Linked DNA regions of Sus scrofa. Each later gene encodes a partner of the first gene's protein in a complex. Links are inferred from orthologs where the notes say so. Each region holds a gene or a part of one and is shown on either strand. Other genes may lie near its edges.

Region 1 (6,698 bases):
AACCCCTGAGAACACTTATTTTGAAGTGGTGACTTCAAAGCAAATGATACCTTGAAGTATAGAAGCTTTGAGTCCTTTTCTAGGATGTCCAGGTTGCCCGAGGGATTCTCTGGGGGGAATATAATGCTGTTTGTATTCTAGAAATTCTGCTCTCACAGCCATCAGAGGAAATTGACTCGTAATCGTTGTGTCAGGGTGGTGAGTTGGAGGGCTGAGCAGGTGTATCTTTGGTGGTAGGGATTGGGTGATTACCTGGCTCTATTGTCCCTCTGTGATAAGAGGGGGAAAAAATGAGAGGCTGTGACATTTTAGATACAGAGCAAAACGTTTTGTGTTAATCTGCAGTTTATTGTATTTTGTTTACAGGAGGCTGATTTCTTTCTCAGCGGGAGTTTGCCTGGGACCATTCAAGATCCCACCCCAGGAGAGTTTGTAATCTGGGAGGGGAGATGACACCTGCAGGGGTCTGGAACATGAGGCTCTCCTCACTAAGGTGAATTTATTACCTCATTTTAGGATGAGAGTGTAAATAAAAATTGGGTAATAGGCCAGATGACTGAAACAAGAACCTTGATTCAGAGGTTCCTGTTTGTATCTCTGCAACCACCTCAGAATGCACGCATCTGGTTTGTTCTGAGTCTGACCTTCTGTACAGACAGAAGTGTCTTCAGTCGGATTTGGGGAACTGCAGCTGTGGGAGGGTTCAGTGCATTGCTTCGCCTCATCTTAGGTAAGCATTTGTTTTCTACTTCTTAAGCAGTAGACTTGAACTTTTCTCCCTTGGAAGGGGGCTGGTACTGGAGGTTTTCATTTAATGGTAACTCTTTTGGATTGTGAGGCCATAATCATGAAACTGTCAGCCTCTGCCGGAGGACTGTCGTAAGGTAGTCTGGTAGGTACAGTTTTCCTTTCTGTAGCGTAGAATAACTTATGTTAAGATCCTCAGAAAAAGAGGAGTAAGGTTTGCTCTTAATAAAAGTGTAAATGATGATGATGGTGACAAAGCTCTCGCTTTTAAGTTGCTCGCCTGTGGCTTTAGATGGAACTGTGACTAGCTGTCCTTGAACTTGCCACAGAACTCTTCCTGAACTGTTTCTCTTCTCCCAAGCCTAGACAGGCCAATATTTAACCTTAAGGAGTCAGGAACTTAAATCTCTCAGGAGAGCTAGGCAGTTGTCCCTACTTAGCATACCCTCTCCATAGTCCTGATCACAGGAAAGTTGAAGTAGGATGGTTCAGGTGTAACCTGGTCTAAAGAAGACAGCAGGAGTAATGACTCCTAAGGTCCCCTTCAGGTAGAGGGTTGACCAGTGTAACCTAGCCAGTATTATAAGGAGCCTTGCAACCTACCAGTTTGTATTAAATGGACTTGGAAGGAAAAATGAAGATGCATTTTAAAAGATTCATTATGGGGACTCATATACCGCAAACATCCAAGAGCCTGGAGGTACACAGCCATGTATAACTCGAGGGGACCTAGCATTGCGGGTGGACCGGGCCGCCTGGGTGAGGAAAGGCAGTGTAGTTGTCTGTGTGCTCAGGGGTTGCTTGTCCTTGCTAGGGGCAAACCCTGACTCAGAGAGAGCGCCTCTCCCTTATTCTCTCTTGTAGTATCGTAGCATTTGAGGGTCATATCCACATCCTGTGTGGTAGTCTCATTGTCATGAGTTTCTTTTCTAAGATTTTTTTTTTCTGTTATAATTATGTCAAGGACAACAATTCCCCTACACTATTAATCATAGAAAAAGGGGTCCCGGTAGTTACAACTCCCCAGGAATGATAGAAGATATTTGTCAAGAGTTACATTGTGAAAGAACCACAAGTGCAGGTCCAAACATTTGGTCAACATGTGAAATAACTTACTATACAGAGTTATCTCAAGAACATGCTGGTAAATCAGGATCTGGAAAAAGAAGCAAGTTCAGTTGAGAATTCAATTAGCATCTATCGAGATGCTTAAGGTGCCTTTAATGAATGCTTTGGTTAGATTTTTACACTGAGATTCATAGATTTCTGAATTGTATATCTGAATAATAAAATTCTGAAAAAATATGTTATCTATCTATCTAGTTTCTATCTATATGGTAGGAATTTCTAAATATTTGCCAACTAAGTGGAAAACTTAGAACTTGACTAGAGTGTTCTTGGCCCTGTTAGGTGTTAATTCATCTGATGGGTGGTGACTGGGCTCCCTGCCTGGTGCTCTTACTCTGTGCTGGTGCTGGAGATGCACTGGCCCATAGGCACAGCTCTTGGCCTCATGAAGCTTATAGTCTTGGGGATGAAGGTAGAGAGAAAAACTTGAATCGAAGAAGCACATAAGTAAATAGATAATTAGTTGTGGAGTTCCCGTCGTGGCGCAGTGGTTAACAAATCCGACTAGGAACCATGAGGTTGCGGGTTCGGTCCCTGCCCTTGCTCAGTGGGTTAAGGATCCAGCGTTGCCGTGAGCTGTGGTGTAGCTTGCAGACGCGGCTCGGATCCCGAGTTGCTGTGGCTCTGGCATAGGCCGGTGGCTACAGCTCTGATTAGACCCCTAGCCTGGGAACCTCTATATGCCGAGGGAGTGGCCCAAGAAATAGCAAAAAGACCAAAAAAAAAAAAAAAAAAAAAAAAAAAAAGTTGTGACAAATGCCCTCAAGGAAAGTAAAATAATACTATTGAAACATGTGGCCTAAGGATTTGACCTGGGAAGAATGGTTCAGGAGAGGTTTCCGCGAGGAAACTGCATTTCACTTGGGAACTGAAAGATGAACAGGAGTTAACTAGGGGAAGAGGGTGGGAAGAGGATTCAGTCAGGGGAGCAGATTAATTTTGCTCTGATAAATGAAGATCAGGGAAACTCCGTTCTAAAACATTGATGACTTTTACACACACGGAGGAGCAGTGCAGTGTGGTAAGGGGACAGGCTCTGATCCACAGTGCCTGGGCTCGAATCTTCGCCCTGCCACTTGCTTTGTGTTTTAGGCGAGTCACTTCACCAATCTGTGCCTTAGTTTCCTCATCTATAAAACCTCACAGGAGGTTGTGAAAATTAAATTGATTGGTGTGTAGAGAATATAACTTTCTCTAGTTTATTGAATATCAACTACTGATTTCTAATGTGGTGCCATGTTAACTGGGGTGGGTAGGTGGGTGGGTGTAATCTGATCCTTTAATATTAAGAATGAGTCCTGGGGAGAGTGAGTGGCTTACCAAAGATGAAAGAAGTAGTTAACGGAAGGGCTGTTCTGGGAAGAGAATTTTTAAAAAATTTAACACTTTTTCTGTCAAATCATTGCTTCTCTATTCATTCACCCAGAGTTCTAATGGTGCATTTGAGTACTTAGGACTGAAAATGGGTATCTTTTATTTATCATATCGTTGGCACATTTCTTAGAACTTGTTGGAAAATGGTTTGGGTGTGGCTCTGTGTGTCTTCAGTTTGGCGACGAGATTTAAAATCTTTTTGGGGTCACTGGTTTCTTCTTAGAATAGAGTAGTGCATTGGCAGGATGTCTAAGTTGATTTCAGTTGGTTGTATTGGCAGCTATTAGCCCTTATCCAGTATATGCCAGGCACTTCACCGATGCTGTAGCACGGGCACGGGACACTCATAAATGAGATGCATATGATCCTGCCCTTGAGAGGGTAGATAAGTCTACACTGTAAATCAGTTCTTACTCTCCATGCAAATGGTGCACTGCTTTGGGGAATATATGAGAGCTATTTGCTGGGCAGTGAAGGGAGCACAATTAACTCTCTGGAGAAGAATTCATCCAGAACACGGCAGTGAGTTTGATGTCCCAGATGCGATGAATTAAAGTTACGATATAAAGGAAGCCCTTAATCATGCTCACCCCTGTACGCATGGAGTGAGGTGAGTGTTGTGGAGCAGGTATAATGCTGTGGCTGTTTTGAGAGAGGTCTGTATTTTCATTAAAAATACTCATGTTTGAGGAAACTTAGTGTGACTTTTGGTATATCTGAGTCAGTGTAATTATTATCTCCGTTGTCGTTGTCGTGATGGGATTCAAGAACTGAAACTTAAAAAGTTTCCAGTTTGTTCTGATTCATCATTTGCCATTCTTGTAAAGGTAGGTGCTCAGAACGTCAAATCTCCCCTAAGGCTACAAACTCTATTTCCTATCTGACTTTTAGGCTATAACACCTAGGTTGTTATGTGGTAATGCTTTCTGGTTGTCAAAGCACTGTTACCTACGTTGTCATATTCGATCCTTGCATTGTTATTCCCATGTTATGGGTGGGGAAACTGAGGTTCAGCAAGGGCAACTGATTTACAGCATAAGTAAGACCTAGGTTGGGCTGCCTTGAACAGTTTGATCCTAATTTTCCGGAGGGAGAATTTTGTTGATTAGAATACAGGGAAGGATTCTCTTAGGTAATCAGTTTTTATAAATTAAAATGGCTGCCACACATGCTGGACTTCCCACCAGAGCCGGGTAGGGTACTATGATGTTAATGCAAAAAAAAAAAAAAAAAAAAGAGACCTTTCCTCCTAGCAGATTCTGAGGTCAAATTACTCCAGAGTATTATGGGTGCAGGGATCATCTTCTCCTGAGACCAGCCACAGTAGAAGGTAGGAATCCAAGGCTGGTTGAATTGTAACTCTTTGGATTTAGAGCTCTTCTGTTTTAAGAAAATTGTGGGGCATTGTGCAGAACAGCAAATCTTTTCCCAAGAGCTAATATATAAAATAGACGAAATAGGAGTTCCCGTCGTGGCGCAGTGGTTAACGAATCCGACTGGGAACCATGAGGTTGCGGGTTCGGTCCCTGCCCTTGCTCAGTGGGTTAACGATCCGGCGTTGCCGTGAGCTGTGGTGTAGGTTGCAGACGTGGCTCAGATCCTGCGTTGCTGTGGCTCTGGCATAGGCCGGTGGCTACAGCTCCAATTAGACCCCTAGCCTGGGAACCTCCATATGCCGAGGGAGCGGCCCAAGAAATAGCAAAAAGACAAAAAAAAAAAAAAAAAAAAAAAAAAGATGAAATAAATACCACAGAGATAATATGGGTATTTTAAAAGTACACTTGCCCATACTCAGCCCAAGTCTTGTTCTATCCTACCTAAAAAAGTGAAAAACAAAAAAACAAAAAAACCAAAGACTCAACCATCATGTGGTTTCTTTGTCAAATGACTTGGTGAATGCCTCAACTGAGCTTACAAAATTTCCCCTTATTTGTGTACCGCCTTTCCTCCATGTCTGAAATGTTGTTTATATGTCTAAAAGTAGTCATTTTAATTTAGTTGGAGAGAGAGGTAAAAATTTCAGGCTGAGTATCCTGTAATCTTTTGTTTACATGAAACTTGAAGTTGTGGATTGAATAGGGTTGTCATCTCAAGGTATCCTGGAATTATTTGCTTTTTTTCAGTTGAAAATCAACTTTAATCTTCCCTTACAGCCAGTCTGAGGCAACCCCCAAGTGACTCTCCAAACACCACTTTGTTTTGATTCATCGTGATGGTCACCAGCATCCACTGTTCCTTATTCATTCATTTGCTGCTTTTTTCTCTCTGTCTCCCCCTACATGCAGACTGCACTTGAGCGGCGACCTTGTCTTCCTTGTTCACTGCCACATCGCAGTGCCTCAGACCCAGGCTGCTTCACAGAGGCACTCACTGTTGATTTGTTAAATTAATGAACTTCTCTTGACACTATTTTCTGATTTTTTTTTCTTGTATCTTCAGATTGAAAAGTTGAGAGCAGCATGTTTTACCCACTGAAAATCATCCTGATGCCAGTGTTACTGGGTAAGTAGAAGCCACTGGACCAAGGATGGTATTTGATTTCTCATAAGTCTCATGCATTTTAAAAAGCTAGTTTTATGTATTTTCATTTCCCCTTAGTGTGCTGAAAACGGAAACCCCAGCCTGGAACTTCATAGTTTTGTTGAAACAGATGCTTTGCTGAAGCAGCTGTTTTAGAGGCCAGGTAGCAGACTTTTTCTTGGAAAGCTATATATTCCTCTCTTTCTATTAGAAACAGAATGCCTTAGGGTCCTTACTGGGTGTTCCAGGACCTTCCTGTGGGATCCAAAAAAAGTTTCTTGCTGGCATTCCTGCACTTTAAGATGTTGTTTTTAAAATCACAGCTAGTCTCAGATTAGGAAATGAAATTACCCAAGAGAGTTCCAGAATCCCTGTAACTTTTTTCATGCTTTAGCCACGCCAGCCTTCTTGTGGTTCCTCAAATGCACTGAGCTCCTTCCTAATTTTGGATGGTTTCTTTTGCCTGGAACCTTCTCTCCCCACCTCACCTGAGCAAGCCTGCCTAAGCCTTCTTTATCCTCAGGCTTCTCCTTAAGCTCCACTTTCTTCTAAAAAGCCTGCTCTGGCTGCTTCCTCAGACCAGCTTGGATTCTCTTGCTCCTATGTGACCTGAGCGCTCAGGGCTGCATCTTCTTGCTCATCCCATTTCTTTCTCACATTTGTATCCTTTTAGTCCCCTTGTCTTTCTCTTTATCCTGTGGATGTAGCTCTGTAGGGAGAATAAATTAATTAGGTGCTTTGCTGTTATAGCCTTTCATCTCTCTCTCTCTTTTTTTGGCCACACTTTCTGCTTATGAAAGTTCTCTGGTCAGGGATCAAACCTGCGTCTCAGGAGCAACCCAAGCTGCTGTAGAGACAATGCCAGATCTTTAACCTGCTGTGCCAGAGTGGGAACTCATCACTTTTCTCTTTAAAAAAATTTTTTATTG
Region 2 (6,598 bases), on another chromosome or scaffold:
TTATTTTCTTTTCTCAGTTAAGCCTTCAGGTACAAGATGTTATGTTGATGGATCAGAAGAAATTGGAAATGACTTTAAACTAAAATGTGAACCAAAAGAAGGTTCACTCCCATTACTATATGAATGGCAGAAATTGTCCAATTCACAGAAGCTGCCCACCTTGTGGTTAGCAGGTACTGCTGATTATACAGTTTGAACGGTTTGTGCAAGTATGTGTAGATTTTAAAATCCCTAAATACCTTCCCTTTTCTGGACAGAGCAATCAGTACTCCATGAGAATTAGTGTTTCATAATGACAGCTTAGTGTCATGTGGTATTAATGAAGAGATATTTTTATAATGATCAGCCTTGAGGATGTTACAATTGGTATATTGATGGAAACTGTTCATTGTCTTAAGTTCATTGTCACCACAGGAGTTGGATCTTGAGTGTTTTGCCTGGATTCATGTCGAAGATAAGGTTATTTACCCCTGGCATGTCTATAAAACAAAACACCTATGTGAAGCTACCCAGAAAGATTCAAACTGGTTAAATCCATTATTTTTTGGGCACACCCACGGCATATGGAGGTTTCCCAGGCTAGGGGTTGAATTGGAGCCGTAGCTGCCTAGCTGCCGGCCTACACCACAGCCGCAGCAACGCCAGATCCAAGCCGCGTCTGCAACCTACACAACAGCTTATGGCAACGCTGGATCTTTAACCCACTGAGTGAGGCCAGGGATCAAACCTGCGTTCTCATGGATCCTAGTCAGATTTGTTTCTGCTGAGCCACAGTGGGAACTCCCAAATTGGTTAGGTCTGACCACTCCTCTGCTTGTTATAATTGACCTGTTATTCAAACTGATAACCATGCTCCACCCTCCTCCCACCCTCCTCACCCTGATCTTAGGTAGGATTTCTTCCCACCTCAGTTTATTTTTTCAAAACCAAGAGGCCAAATCATATGACCTCTTCTACCTTTCTTTTATGTGTTTCTTCTGTCTGGAGGGATGAAATAGATTTTGCATATCTTGCTGCTGCCCCTAAAGAGCCTCTGTGCTGTGGAATATTTTTTGTCATCGGTGTGGCTGTGCTTCAGCAGAGACTGTGCCTAGCCGAAGGGGTCATGATTACTTTGGCTTTGACGTGAATGAACTAGACGCACAGTTGTTTGCATTCTGGAGACTTGCCTGTGCCTTGTCGAGTTTGCTCTGTATCCAGCTTCAGTTTTTTACGTATTGACCAAGTGGAGTTTGCTTAAAAACTCAGCAATGTGTGACTGTAAAAATAGATTTCATTCCCTCACCCTCCTCTTTCTGCCCATAGAAATGACTTCACCTGTTATATCTGTAAAAAATGCCTCTACTGAATACTCTGGGACATACAGCTGTACCGTGAAAAACAGAGTGGGCTCTGATCAATGCCTGCTTCGCCTGGATGTGGTTCCTCGTAAGTGTCTGTTCACTGTTGTGAAGATGTGTTTCATTATCTTGATACAGCCTCCTTGGCTACAATCAGCAAGTGTGTATTAAGGGCAGGGGGGTGCTAACTTTGAGCAGAGCACTCTGTGGTTTGGTTATTAGCTTGTCTAAGTCATGGAAAGGAAAAAGGTATGACATTTTATTAATAAAAACCTTCATTACTCTACTGACCTTAAGGCAAGAGTTGTCAGATCAACTCTTGTACTATATTTAGCCAATGTAAGTAAGTATAAGCTATTTAGAAATTCTTAAATGCCAGCTAAGATTGTGAGTATTAAAATCTTTCAGTGTGGTTTATTGTTTTTATCCTTGAAATAGAGTACACAGTTCAGAAGAAAGTTGTTTTAGTGGATTTTCCTTCAGACCGGAAAAAGCTAACTGATTTGTCTCTTAAATCAAGAGACAAATTCAATGAAATCAATCTGTCATTGTGTATCATTACCTGCAATGTGACTAGATGAAAAATTTTTTCAACCATTCTTTTTTTAATTCTAGCTTCAAATAGAGCTGGAACAATTGCAGGAGCTGTTATAGGAGTTTTGCTTGCTCTAGTGCTCATTGGTCTTATTGTGTTTTGCTGTCATAAAAAGCGCAGAGAAGAAAAATACGAAAAAGAAGTGCATCATGATATCAGGTAATTAAGTGGCAGAGGAGTTGACTGATGTATACTAAATGTATTATGTCTTTAAGGTGTTAGTTCTCATAATCATCTGAAGCATTTGCCCCTATGAGAATTGGATGAAAGCTTCTTCTCTTTTCCTTAATGTACTGGAAAGCTTATACTTTCAATTTCAAATGTGCAGCTCTAGCCAACCTCCACTGTGCCTCCTTCCCCATTTTGAGACTTACTTGTAAGAACCACTGCAAAATGCTTATCTCCAGACTCTCTGCCTTCTCCCACTAGAGTACAGGCATGAAATTTTCAAAAATGAATTGTTGAGGTTTCAAATAAAAAATCTGATTGTATCAAGTGACACGGGTAGTTAATAATTCTATGGTAATGTGATATTATTTTTTTAAATATTCTAAAATATTTTTCTAAATATTTTAAGATTCTGGTAAATCTTAACTAGAAATGCACATTGGATTGGATTATAGAACTTGTAAAAATAACAACAGAGGGTCAAACTGACACCCAGGAAATTGACATTTGATGGGTCTAGGATCTGGACATTTGTATTTTAAAATGCACCAGAAGTGACTCATATATATTCCATGTCAGTGCGTGGTATGAAAATTCTTATGCCTAATTCTCACTTTTTTCAAACTTAAATCTGCTCAAAGTTTTCAGCTGAAGTCTTAGATGAGTAACTTTCATAATAAAAAAGATATTTTACCTTGTTCTTTTTTTTTTTTTGATAGAAATATCTGTAGATGTTGCTTTATCGACTATTAAGTGTTATTACATGACTCTGACCAGATTATCTTTGTCTGTGATACTAGAATATGAAAACATTTGAGGTTTGTTCTTTGTAACACAGCATTATGGAACTATGTACTTTTAATTTTTTAATTTTTTTTGTCTTTTTGCCTTTTCCAGGGCCGCACCGGCAGCATATGGAGGTTCCCAGGCTAGGGGTCTAATTGGAGTCGCAGCCACTGGCCTATGCCTCAGCCACAGCAACTTGGGATCCGAACCTCGTCTGTGACCTACACCACAGCTCATGGCAATGCCTGATCCTTAACCCACTGAGCAAGGCCAGGGATCAAACCCGAAACCTCATGGTTCTTAGTCAGATTCGTTAACCACTGAGCCACAATGGGAACTCCTGGAACTATGTACTTTTATAACAATCACATTATTATGTGTGAAGGTATAAACTCTGTAAATGATAAATTTGAGATAGATACGTAGTTCACAACATCACACCTTATTGTGCTTGCTTTTTGTGTGTCACACACCCTTCTTTTTTTCAAGGGTCTGGGGGTGGTTCACGCATTGCATGCAGATGTTCTGGGGCCTGGGATCGAACCTGTGCCATGGTAGTGACAATATTGGGTCCTGATCCCACTGAGCCACCAGGGAACTTCCTCACGTACACTTTTATATGCTTAGTGCTTAAATAGAAGATCTTCCTTTCCCCCCATGATTCATAGCTTACATGATTGTAGGTTTCTAGAAACTTGGTCTTTGAGCGCGTATTGTGATCTTTCTAGGGAAGACGTGCCTCCTCCGAAGAGCAGAACGTCCACTGCCAGAAGCTACCTCGGCAGCAACCACTCGTCCCTGGGATCCATGTCTCCTTCCAACATGGAAGGCTATTCCAAGACTCAGTATAACCAGGTACCAAGCGAAGACTTTGAACGCGCTCCTCAGAGTCCAACTCTCCCGCTCGCTAAGGTAGCTGCCCCTAATCTCAGCCGGATGGGAGCGGTGCCTGTGATGATTCCAGCCCAGAGCAAGGACGGGTCCATAGTATAGAGCCTCTGTACCTTCATCTGTGCTCTCCATGTTCCTTTTCTCTTCTCAAAGTATCAACACCTATTCTGTTCTGAATTTTGCTACCAGCCTCAAAATATATCAAAAAGAAGTTCACCAGAAACGGTAAAAACTCCAGGTTTTGTGCAGTTATATTGAAATAGTAAAGGCATTAAAGAAAGTTCTAAGGACAAATTCACCTTCTAAGTAATATATCCTTTAAGAGCTTGATTTTATAGGGTTCTGGGTATCAATACTTCAGTCAGATGTAGCACTTTGAGTGTGAAGTCATAGGTGAAGAAAGAAATTGGTGAACTTACATGCATACCAAGCTGATACTTGAATCATCTGAAAGTGGTACTTTATAGTTTCTACCATTACTTTTAGGTTGCCTTTTTCAATTAATTTATGACCCTGTAATTCCCCTGCCCCCAAATTGGTACAGAAAGATTCATGACAAAAATAGTCACATACATTTATGTTGGTTCTTGTTTTTGCTTCAGTGAAAACTCTAAATGTGTTTAAAGTATCTCTAATAAGTAGAAAACACTACAGTGTTCTAGAAACCACTCGTTCTGAGTCATTCATAAACCTTGTCTATGAAATGACTTAAGTGCTTAATTGATAGGTTGCTCTGGGCAGCAGGGACGTAGTAAGCTCCTTTTTTATGCTAAAATAAAGGAGCATCTGTCTGGTCCATTTGGAAAATTTGCTGTCAGCTACATGTAGTGATGGTAGTAGTGGTGCAATAGTGAGGGTGGACTTTGTTGCCGAGTGTCTTGATGCCTTGAGGCCTGTGCAGGTCTTCAGAACCCTGATTTGCTGTCAAGGATGTGTAGTGTTTTGCAGTTCTCAACCAAATGCTGGCCCTCCACTTTAGGCTATATTTTTCTAGTAAGAAAAAAGTATAACTCATTTATTATCTGACAGTTATAGAATATCTGTAACTCCCTAATTATTGGTTCTAAATTAAAAAAAAAATTTACCCCTGATTTAGTGGGGGTTTGGGGTGGGGGAGGGTTTTTGTTTTTGTGATGGTGTTGCATAGTATATGTTCTAGGAATATACTCTTAAATTTGCCATCTTGAATGCTGTTCCTGGAGGATATTGTCTTCATAAACTTAGAATGATGAAATACACCCTAAACTAGTAAGTGTCCTCCATCAGTTCTGTATTTCAGACTTGGGAGGATGTACCGTTGCTATTGTATGGCCAACACGTCTTGTGTAGTTGCAGAAAATCAAGTTGAGCTTTGAAAAGTTTGTCTTAGTTTTGTGGAAGTGACTTAATCTTAAAAAAAAAAAAAAAAAGGAAAGAAGAAATGAAAGGAGAAGGCGTAAAAGGAATACTCCTACCTGCCAAATGTATTGAATGCTGTCTTAGTAGATGAAAGTGAATTTATTGTATTTCCCTTAAGATTGTGAGGAAGCGTGGATATATAGCATATAGTAGAATGAGCCATCAGTTTCTTTATAGTACATAAGGTTTGCAATAAATTATTTCATTAGCTCTAAAACCTTTTCCCTAGATTTCAGTAGGGAGTTGGTTTCTGTTCATCTCTTTGGGTGCTGTGGTGGTAAATGCTACATTATAAATTAATGTTGGCATGAATTTATGATTAGGCAGAGTATGTATACACTTTTTAATGGTAAACGTAAGCTGAATGTATAGTGAATTAGTGTATAGTTTGACATTTTTGGAATAGGTTTTTAATGTTACATAAAATTTGCTTTTATGCTTGTGTTAACATTTTCATCTGTGCCTTTTGGGTAATTCAGTTTTTATGATGAATTTCTGGTGCCTATGAGCTAGCTATCACCTGAAAGGTGCTTAGAGGTGAAGGTACTGTTCCTAAAAATGCATCACTGTGATACCTTTCTATCCTTACACTTGCCTCTTCTTTTCTGTTCTCTTTGGATGCAAGTTAACTGATTATGTTACTTGTCATGTTTCTACAATTTCGACATCCCCTACACTCTTTGTGTTTCTGATTTTATAACAATAACTATTTTTGAATACTGGATTCCCAGTCTGTTTTATATGAATACAATTTATAAGATATTTTAAGAATAAATAAGATCACGAACATTAATAATAAAACATTTTTGGTCCTCCCTATTTCCCATTTTCGTATAATGAAGATCATGCTGTCAATCTAAGTAGAAATTACTATGAAAAGTGGACATGTGTAAGGCTTTCCTCCCCTAGACTTGGTAGTTAGTCTAGGATTTGACTGTAAGGACATCAGAATCTCCCAGAGGTGCTTCCTTCCAGTTCAGGTCGATACCACCTACAACCTGAAAAACAAGCTCGGAAAAAGCCACTGTGTGACCTGAAGACACTATTGGATGTGGTTGGGTTTAGAGGACAGACTTCAGTTTTAGGTTTATGTCTCCAGCTACTCGTTGTAAATTTCAGCTAATCCAAAAGTGAGATACTGCTGGTAATTTCCCAGACAATTCTACCTAATAATTTACTTTGAACTAGAGATCAAATATTTGTTCTGGAATTTCTATTGGTAATTATCAAGCAGTTCAACAAAAAATTGTTAAACGTTTCCATTAGAGTCAAACATCAGTCAAGGACAGCACTGACTCTTCAAAGTAAAACTGTTCCATTCCACTTTATACCTAAGAGACTTGACACCGACACCACATTCTTTTGAGTTATGCAGGAAAACTGTAAAAGAAATGATATCATAGAGGATGCAATTCTATGC

The links. The genes of interacting proteins can lie anywhere in the genome.
Region 2: the proteins of JAML (region 1) and CXADR are in contact, whole or in part, in a crystal structure (PDB 3MJ7), measured with the Mus musculus proteins. The link is inferred for Sus scrofa from reciprocal best matches to the Homo sapiens genes JAML and CXADR. Residues at the interface, in NP_001005421.3 of Mus musculus: Arg57, Asp59, Ala69, Tyr72, Phe75, Tyr77, Leu80, Val82, Glu120, Arg122, Ser127, Met128, Val129, Met130, Lys131; in NP_001020363.1 of Mus musculus: Thr23, Gly51, Pro52, Asp54, Glu56, Leu58, Ser60, Gln65, Ile66, Val67, Asp68, Gln69, Val70, Leu73, Tyr83, Lys121, Lys123, Lys124, Ala125, Pro126, Gly127, Val128, Asn130.

Annotation. Positions count from the first base shown.
Region 1 is NC_010451.4:45,528,783-45,535,480, reverse strand, and holds the start of JAML (junctional adhesion molecule-like precursor), read left to right. Parts: upstream 1-2,806; 5' UTR 2,807-2,896; intron 2,897-3,167; exon of another isoform or gene 3,168-3,859; intron 3,860-5,688; 5' UTR 5,689-5,708; coding exon 5,709-5,751; intron 5,752-5,847; exon of another isoform or gene 5,848-5,932; intron 5,933-6,698. UniProt on the Homo sapiens protein: Transmembrane protein of the plasma membrane of leukocytes that control their migration and activation through interaction with CXADR, a plasma membrane receptor found on adjacent epithelial and endothelial cells.
Region 2 is NC_010455.5:182,180,781-182,187,378, forward strand, and holds the end of CXADR (coxsackievirus and adenovirus receptor), read left to right. Parts: intron 1-17; coding exon 18-173; intron 174-1,305; coding exon 1,306-1,428; intron 1,429-1,955; coding exon 1,956-2,094; intron 2,095-3,617; coding exon 3,618-3,882; 3' UTR 3,883-5,197; downstream 5,198-6,598. UniProt on the Homo sapiens protein: Component of the epithelial apical junction complex that may function as a homophilic cell adhesion molecule and is essential for tight junction integrity.